Callithrix jacchus: one gene and its partner. The protein of the gene in region 1 purifies or fractionates together with the protein of each later gene. This does not show direct contact. Links are inferred from orthologs where the notes say so. Each region holds a gene or a part of one and is shown on either strand. Other genes may lie near its edges.

Region 1 (4,387 bases):
TTTAGATGGAGTGTGGCTCTGTCACCCAGGCTGGAGTGCAGTGGCACAATCTCAACTCACTGCAACCTCTGCCTCCTGGGTTAAGCGATTCCTGTGTCTCAGCCTCTTGAGTAGCTGGGATTACAGGTACTTGCTACCATGCCTGGCTAATATTTGTATTTCTAGTAGAGATGATGTTTCACCATGTTGGTCAGGCTGGTCTCGAGCTCCTGCCCACAAGTGATTCCCCCACCTCACCCTCCCAAAGTGCTGGGATTACAGGCATGTGCCACCACACCCAGCCTATTATTATTATTATTTTATTTTGAGATGGAGTATTGCTCTTTCACCAAGCTGGGGTGCAGTAGCATAATTGCAGCTCACTGCAAGCTCCGCCTCCCGGATTCAAGTGATTCCCCTGCCTCGTCCTCCTGAGGAGCTGGGACTACAGTGTGCACCACCACGCCCAGCTAATTTTTTTTTTATGTTAGTAGAGATGGGGTTTCACCATAGCCAGGACGGTCTTGATTTCCTGACTTCATGATCCGCCCACCTCAGCCTCCCAAAGTGCTGGGATTACCAGTGTGAGCCACACCCGGCCCCTATTATTATTTTTTGAGATGGTCTTGCTCTGTTTTTTTTTTTTAATTTATATATGGAACGCTTCACTAATTTTCGTGTCATCCTTGCGCAGGGGCCATGCTAATCTTCTCTGTATCGTTCCAATTTTAGTATATGTGCTGCTGAAGCGAGCACGATCCTGCTCTTCCATGCCGGAGTGCAGTGGCATGCTTGTGGCTCATGCAGTCTCAACCTCCCAGGCTCAAGCAATCCTCCCACCTCAGCCTCCTGAGTAGCTGGGACTACAGGTGTGCAACGCCATGCTGAGCTAATTTTTGTAGTTTTGAAGTTATGGGGTTTTCTCATGTTGCCCAGGCTGGTCTTGAGCTCCCGGGTTTAACTGATCCACCCACCTTGACCTCCCAAAGGCCTAGGATTACAGGTGTGGGCTATCTTGTGTGGCCATTTTTAATGTTTTAGAAAAGAGAAAATCTAAAGCAGAAGCGTGAACAGGGCCCAGCTGCTGTGTAGCCCCCATCTCCATACATACACACATATACGTTCCTTGATGCTCTCACCTTGGGATGCAGTTCCAGTATTAGCAGGGGCCCAGAGCCCCCGCGGCTGGCGGTGATAAATCGGACAACGTGGTCGTGCTGTAGGCCTGGCAGTTCGTACAGTGCTCTCTCAGCTCGGAACTGAGCCACAGACCTCGGTGGGAAGGCCTTGATGGCAACCAGTTTGCCTTGCAGCTGCCCAGCCCAAACCACTGCATGACCTCCTTCCCGGATTACCTGGTAGGGACACTGTGCTGAGTGTTGGCCTCTCAGCTATACCAGGGCAAGGCTTCCTCCCCAGCACAACCTCCAGGAGTGCCCAGAGGAGCCCTTCTTTCCCTCCCTGGGGCACCTGGGAGAAGCACAGCTCGGGCAGCTCCTGCAGCTCCGCACTCCAGTCCCTGGCTGAGTCTGGCCCTGGCTCTGGCTCTGGCTCACCTTGAACTCCGTAAGTCTTTCGCTGTAGCAGGGCTGGAACAGAGAAGAGCCTTAGGGTTAGGGTGCGCATGCATGGGGACAGGAAAGGGGACTTTGTGGAAAGGCAGCTTTGTGAGAGGTAATGGGAGTCTGGGAATCAGGCTACAGAGATCCCAAGACCATGGGGTCAGGGGTGCCTGGAGAGGGGTCAGAGCTTTGGGGCAATCTGGGGTCACAAGGGAGGGATGGGGTGGATTAGTACCCAAGATGATGATGCCCACCAGCAGCAGGAGGAGGAGGAACAGCCCCAGCAGCACCAGTGCCATCCAGATGGACTCACCTGGACATCAAGGCAAGAATGCAGGCTGGTGAACCCTGACCCAAACCTGCTCTCTGCTCTTCCCCTCCTGAGAGTTTGCTTCTCAACCCACCCCCACCCTGGTCACAAGACCCCTTATCTCCCAGTCACCAGGGTAACCAACTTCCCAAGGCCAGGAGGAGGAAAGTATGGGGTGGGAGTAGGGTGAGAACTAGCACTGGTTCCACCTCTCATCCTAACCTGGGCCCCAGCCCCTACCAGGTTCCAGTACCCTTGGGTGGCTACCTGGGGTGACCTGGGGACCCTGGGAGTCAGGAGTCCCAGGGCTCCCTGGAGGAGGCAGATGACTGTAATTGGCATTGCAGAAGTCAGTGCCACAGGAGCAGGTGAAGAGAGTGGAGCCAGGGCTGGGGTGGGCTCGGGGACTTGGGTCACAGTGGAGGGACTCACAGCCTGGCTCATCACTGTCTCGGCATCCTGATGGGGTGGGATTAGGGGAAGAGGAGAGAAAGAAGGAGCAAGGAAGAAAGCACAAAGTGGTGTGGAAACAGAGGATAAATCCCTTCTCTTTCAGAGGCATCCCTTCCATCTCTCATGGGCTTTTCTTTCCCACCATGAAATATTCTATTTCTCCCCTTCCCCCTTGGCTGCCACCCACACCCCAGGATGTGTCTGTCTCCCACCCTAGCTATTGCCTGCCATATACTTTGCCATTCACCTTGCATTTCCACCTGTGCCCGGTCTTGGGTCAGGTTCCAGATCCCAAAGCAGCAGCGGCTGTGGAGGCAGCGGATAGCTCTGGGGAGCTCTGGGTCTGCATCTAGCAACTCTCCCAATGTCTTTGTGCTTCCCCGCACTCCGGGGGACTCAAAGAACACACAGGTTCGCCTGTTTGGGGGTGCTGAGGCCCAGGATGGGGAAAGGAAAGGATTCAAGATGGGAGTGAATGCAGAGGCCGAAAAGTGGCCAAAAGAACAGACAAAACATGTTTCACATCCCAGCGTCAGTATGGTAAAGCCACAGGAGGAACCAGGGTCAGCAGAGGCCTGGAACCTGAGCCCTGCCATGGGGACACATGGCTCTATCCTTCATCTTCACTCACCCAGCCCACTCACCACTCTTCCAAAGGGGTGGCTGTTGCTTCAAGCACCCCTTTCCCTCGCTGGATGGATGGAAAGACCCTGCCCCTCCCTGTCGACGCTTACCTTCCACAGCTGAGGGAAGTAATGCCCAAAGCCCCAGAGACCCAAGCATCTTGCTGGAGGATGGCAGCAGCAGGAGAAGGAGAGCATGAGCCAGCACAGCTGCCCCTGGCCAAAGCTTTCTTCAGATACAGGGCATCGTGGGACTTCTGATCCCTCAGTCCCCAACTCCGCCCCCCTCATCCTTTCCCAGCCTCTGTGGGGGAGAAGGCTGCTGTGGGGGAGAGGGTGGGTGTGGGGAAAGCAGGGAAAGAAAGGGAGGAGCAGAGAACCAATCTTATATCCTCTTCTCTTCTGCAGCCTCCTCTTTGCTCTGCAAAGTGGGAGGAGGGGACCTTGGAGGCCCAGCTGAGAACCCAGTGATGCCTAATTTCAAATCTCTGCCCTTTGCTGACCTTGGAAGAAGATGCAGACTCTGTTGACTCTTTTCAGTAGGAAGCCAAAGTGAGGTCAAATGCTTAGAGTCATTCAGCTCTGCCCAAGATCCTTTCTAGCCTAAGATCCCTTTATATTCAGGGTTCACATCTGTAGCTGCTTGGGCAGAGGAATGCCTCACAGCCCATACTAGAGGTTACCTTGTTTTCCAAACTTAAGAATCAGAAAGTATACCAGAATTTTTTTTTTTTTTTAAGACAGATTCTCGCTGTATCACCCAGGCTGGAGTGCAGTGGCACAATCTCAGCTCACTGCAACCTCTGCCTCCTGGGCTCAAGCGATTCTCCTGCATCAGCCTCCTAAGTAGCTGGGACTACAGGCACCCATCGCCATGTCTAGCCAGACGTAGTGATGGGTGCCCGTAGTCCCAGCTACTTGGGAGGCTGATGCAGGAGAATTTTTGTATTTTTTAGTAGAGACGAAGTTTCACTATGTCAGCCAGGCTGGTCTTGAACTCCTGACCTTGTGATCTGATGCCTCGGCCTCCCAAAGTGCTGGCATTACAGGCATGAGCCATCACGCCCAGGCCAATTTATCAGAATTTCTTAAAAACACATTGAGTCTGGGTGCGGTGGCTCAAGCCTGTAATCCCAGCACTTTGGGAGGCCGAGGCGGGTGGATCATGAGGTCAACAGATCGAGACCATCCTGGTCAACATGGTAAAACCCCGTCTCTACTAAAAAAATACAAAAAATTAGCTGGGCATGGTGGCATGTGCCTGTAATCCCAGCTACTCATGAGGCTGAGGCAGGAGAATTGCCTGAACCCAGGAGGCGGAGTTTTCGGTGAGCCGAAATCGTGCCATTGCACTCTAGCCTGGGTAACAAGAGTGAAACTCTGTCTCAAAAAAAAAATTGAGCTGAGCTAAGTTGCCCAAGGTCATTCAGCTAGGAAAGAGCTGGGATTTGAACCTAGGC
Region 2 (3,804 bases), on another chromosome or scaffold:
GTCCTCAGTGTCCCTGCATAGGCGCCTCTAACTTAACATAGCCACCTCCCAGCCTCTGAGTGTCCCTCCAGCCTGCCTTGTCCTTGGTCTCCCCAATCTTGGTAAGAGTAGCCCTGTTCCTGCAGATGCACAGGTTAAAACTCTAGAGGCTGGCAGGTGCCTGTAATCCCAGCTACTTGGAAGGTGGAGGCATGAGAATCACTTGAACCGGGGAGGCAGAGGTTGCACTGAGCTCAGATCGAGTAACTGCATTCCAGCCTGGGTGACAGAGCAAGATTCTGTCTCAAAAAAAAACCCTCAAAACCCTAGAGACACCCATATTACCCCCAAATCCACATGGGGACCTTCAGCACATCCTACTGCCCCCACTTTTTATTTTTTTGAGACGGAGCTTTGCTCTTGTTGTCCAGGCTGGAGTGCAATGGCGCAATCTCAGCTCACTGCAACCTCTGCCTCCCAGGTTCAAGCAATTCTCCTGCCTCAGCCTCCTGAGTACCTGGGATTATAGACATGCACCACCATGCCCAGCTAATTTTGTATTTTTAGTAGAGACGTGGTTTCTCCATGTTGGTCAGGCTGGTCGCGACCTCCCAGGCTCAGGTGATCTGCTCGCTTTGGCCTCCCAAAGTACTGGGATGACAGGCATAAGCCACTGTGCCCAGTGTCCACTTTTTTTTTTAATGTGGTTTTACTCTGTCACCCAGGCTGGAATGCAGTGGCACACCATAGCTGACAAGCTCCTGAGCTCAAGTGGTCCTCTGTCTCAGGCTCCCAAATAGCTGAGACTACAGTACTCAGTCACCAAGCCTGGCCTGATGTCCACTTTTAAAGTCTGGCAGGATCAGCCCACCTCTCTACCCTCCCTGCCCCCGCCGTCTCCTAACTAGGATGCTGCAATTGGAGGGGTTTGAGTCCCTGTGGACAGGAGTTGGCCTTGCCCAGAGCACTGTAGGCTGGTCCCCTGAGGAGGGGGCCTCTGGCCACCTGGCAGCTCACAGCCCCTACCTTAATCTTAGTGAAGAACTGCCGGAAGCAGGCCCGGGGGTCCACCTTCAGGCTCTTGGCCAGCTCCAGTATAAACTGCATGACGATTGTCTGGTGGGCCACCTGCTCCATGAGTGCACATTTCTACCAGGGACAACAGGCAGTGTCACCAAGTGACGGCGTGTGGCAGCGCCTTTTCACAGCCCTGGGAAAGCTCCACTCACCTCCTCCACCTCTAGGTCAATGCACCAGATGACCAGGTAATTGGCCGTCTCCTCGCACACCAGGTGGACATTGTCCGACAGGTACTTTTGACTGTCATCCCAGCGGCGGAGCATGCCTGTGGGAAGATGCTGGCAAGGTGCTGGAGGGCCCTGGAGACAAAGGGCCTGCCCTGACCTGGCTCCCCCATAACCCACACGCCCCACTCACCAAAGTGCTTGATCTGTTTCTCATACTTTTCCACGAAGGTCTTGTGTTTCTGCTCCCTCACCTCCTCTGAGTCCTCCTCTGCTTTCTCAGGCTTGGTATTGACCATGCTCTGTGGTAGGGTGAGAAGGGGAGTGGGCTGGGGCAAGGCTGCGGAGCGCCTCGAGCGCGGCCGGACGGGCCGTGGCCGCAGCGCCCATCCCATCCACGGCGGAGGTGGTGACGAAGCCATGAGCATCAAGGTGGCGGGAGCGTGGGCATGGGCCTTGGGGCAGATCAGAGGAGGGGACCGGTGGGGTGTTTCATCCGCCCGGCTCCCCAAGCCTGTCCCCCCTCCCTACATGGCCCCCGTCCATCCCCCAACCCCCACACCACACTCTTCAATTTCACCACCGGGGTCCTCCCCTGACTTGGCATTGGGTGCGCATGCGTCCTGGCTGCACACTCACTGGCTGCGCATGCGCACTGCCCGCCCGCCCTGCACACCTTGCTGAAGCCATCTTTGCTGAGCGTGTCCACGTTCCAGGGCATGCTCTTCTCCTTCTTGCGCATCTCCTCCAGTTTCTGCTCCCAACTTCGCTCCTCCTTGCGCAGCTGCTGCGCTTCAGCCTGCAGCCGCTCCAGCTCTGCCTTGCCGCCCTCGGCCACCTCCAGCTCCTTCAACTTCCTCTGACACTCGGCCACCTTGCGCTTGCACTCGCGGCAGCCCCTGTCCAGTTCCTCCTTCTCCTTCTGGAACTGCTCCATGCGCTCCACCCGGGCCTGCCGGCAGGAACGGCCTGTCACTCTGGTGGGCGGCCTGTCCCTTACCCCCGGCCCCATACTCAACCCCTGCTCCTGAGATAGCCCCGGGAAAAAATCTGCGTCCACCTCCAGTGCCCTGGGCTCCCAACTTCCTTGCCCCAACAGGTGCCAGTGCACACCCAAGAGGGTCAGGTTCCTCCATCCTCTGCTGAGAACCCTGGCGGCTCCCATTTCACTCAGAACAGAGCCCAAGTCGTCACTACAGCCTATGTGGGCCTGCACAATCTGCCCTGTCACTCCTCCTTCCATCCACACTGGTCCCTCACTTTTCTCATCTTTTCTTGAGCCCTTTTATTAAAGATAGGGTCTCGCTCTGTTGTCCAGGTTGGAGTGCAGTGGCCGGAAGATGACTCACTGCAGCCTTGACCTCCCTGGGCTCAGGCGATCCTCCCACCTCAGCCTCCTGAGTAGCTGGGACTACAGGCATGCACCACCATGCACAGCTAATTTTCATATTTTCAGTAAAGACGGGGTTTCACCATGTTGCCCGGCCTGGTCTTGAAGTCCTGGATTCAAGCAATCCTTCTAACTTGGCCTCCCAAAGTGCTGGGACTACAGGCAGGAGCCACTGCATTCTGCGGAGCCGACTTCTTTCTCTAACCTTAAGGCCTTCCCACTGGCTGTTCCTACTACCTGGAGTGCTTTTCCCTCAGATCCCGCCACAGCTGACTCCACGGCACCCGAGCCATCTGAGCTCCATGTTGCCTTAGCGAGGACCCCTTCCCCAACCACCTTCCTGATGATGGCAACCTCCCCCCACCCCTGCCTGGCATTCCCTGCCTCCTCAGCACCAGCCACCACTGACATCATATGATAATTGTTTATCATGTTCTGCATACTGCCTCCCTCCAAGCCCTGCTCTGTACATGTGGGAATGTGTTCACCACTTTGTCCCCAGAGCCAGGAACTTGGCCTGGTGCAAAGCAGGGACTCAACAGATGCTTGTTTTTTTTGTTTCTGTTTGTTCGGTTTTGTCTGAACAACGTCTCCTCGTCATGCAGACTAGAGTGCAGGATGCGACCATGGCTCACTGCAGCCTCGAGCTCCTAGGCTCAAGCAATCCTCCTACCTCAACCTCCCAAGCAGGTGGGACTACAGGTGCACACCATCCTGCCTGGCTAATTTTTTTTTTTTTTGTAGAGATGGCGTTTTGCCATGTGGCCCAGGCTGGTCTCAAACTCCTGTGCTCAAGCCATCCACCTGCCTCAGCCTCCCAAAGTGCTGAAATTATAGGCGTGAGCCACTGTGCCTGGCCAGGAAATGCTTGTTGAGTGAATAAGTAATGAGATGCCCAGTGGAGGCCTAAACACTGTCTCCAGCTGCCAGCCTTCCCCTCTGACCTGGAGCCACCCTCGCCCACACTTGGTCCCCTTCCCTACTCCTCCCCCCACCCCCAACCCCCATCAAGCTGCTTCTGCCTGGTGTCCCTGCAGGCATCTCTAACTCCATGCCCAAAACCGAACTCACCATCTTTCCTCCCCAGAACCAGGTCCTCTGTGGTATTCTCCCTCAACAAAGGCCCTGCCTCTCTTCCCTTTCTTCTTCTTTTTTTTTTTTTTGAGACGGAGTTTCACTCTTGTTGCCCAG

What was found.
Region 2: the proteins of AMHR2 (region 1) and CDC37 purify together in Homo sapiens (co-immunoprecipitation; 3 studies listed by BioGRID and IntAct, with this or other methods). This does not show direct contact. The link is inferred for Callithrix jacchus from reciprocal best matches to the Homo sapiens genes AMHR2 and CDC37.

The regions. Positions count from the first base shown.
Region 1 is NC_133510.1:66,125,935-66,130,321, forward strand, and holds the start of AMHR2 (anti-Muellerian hormone type-2 receptor), read right to left. Parts: upstream 3,088-4,387; coding exon 3,039-3,087; intron 2,735-3,038; coding exon 2,552-2,734; intron 2,311-2,551; coding exon 2,119-2,310; intron 1,855-2,118; coding exon 1,777-1,854; intron 1,569-1,776; coding exon 1,450-1,568; intron 1,335-1,449; coding exon 1,119-1,334; intron 736-1,118; exon of another isoform or gene 629-735; intron 1-628. UniProt on the Homo sapiens protein: On ligand binding, forms a receptor complex consisting of two type II and two type I transmembrane serine/threonine kinases.
Region 2 is NC_133523.1:9,585,249-9,589,052, forward strand, and holds part of CDC37 (hsp90 co-chaperone Cdc37), read right to left. Parts: intron 2,176-3,804; coding exon 1,900-2,175; intron 1,526-1,899; coding exon 1,417-1,525; intron 1,325-1,416; coding exon 1,209-1,324; intron 1,129-1,208; coding exon 1,006-1,128; intron 1-1,005. UniProt on the Homo sapiens protein: Co-chaperone that binds to numerous kinases and promotes their interaction with the Hsp90 complex, resulting in stabilization and promotion of their activity. Inhibits HSP90AA1 ATPase activity.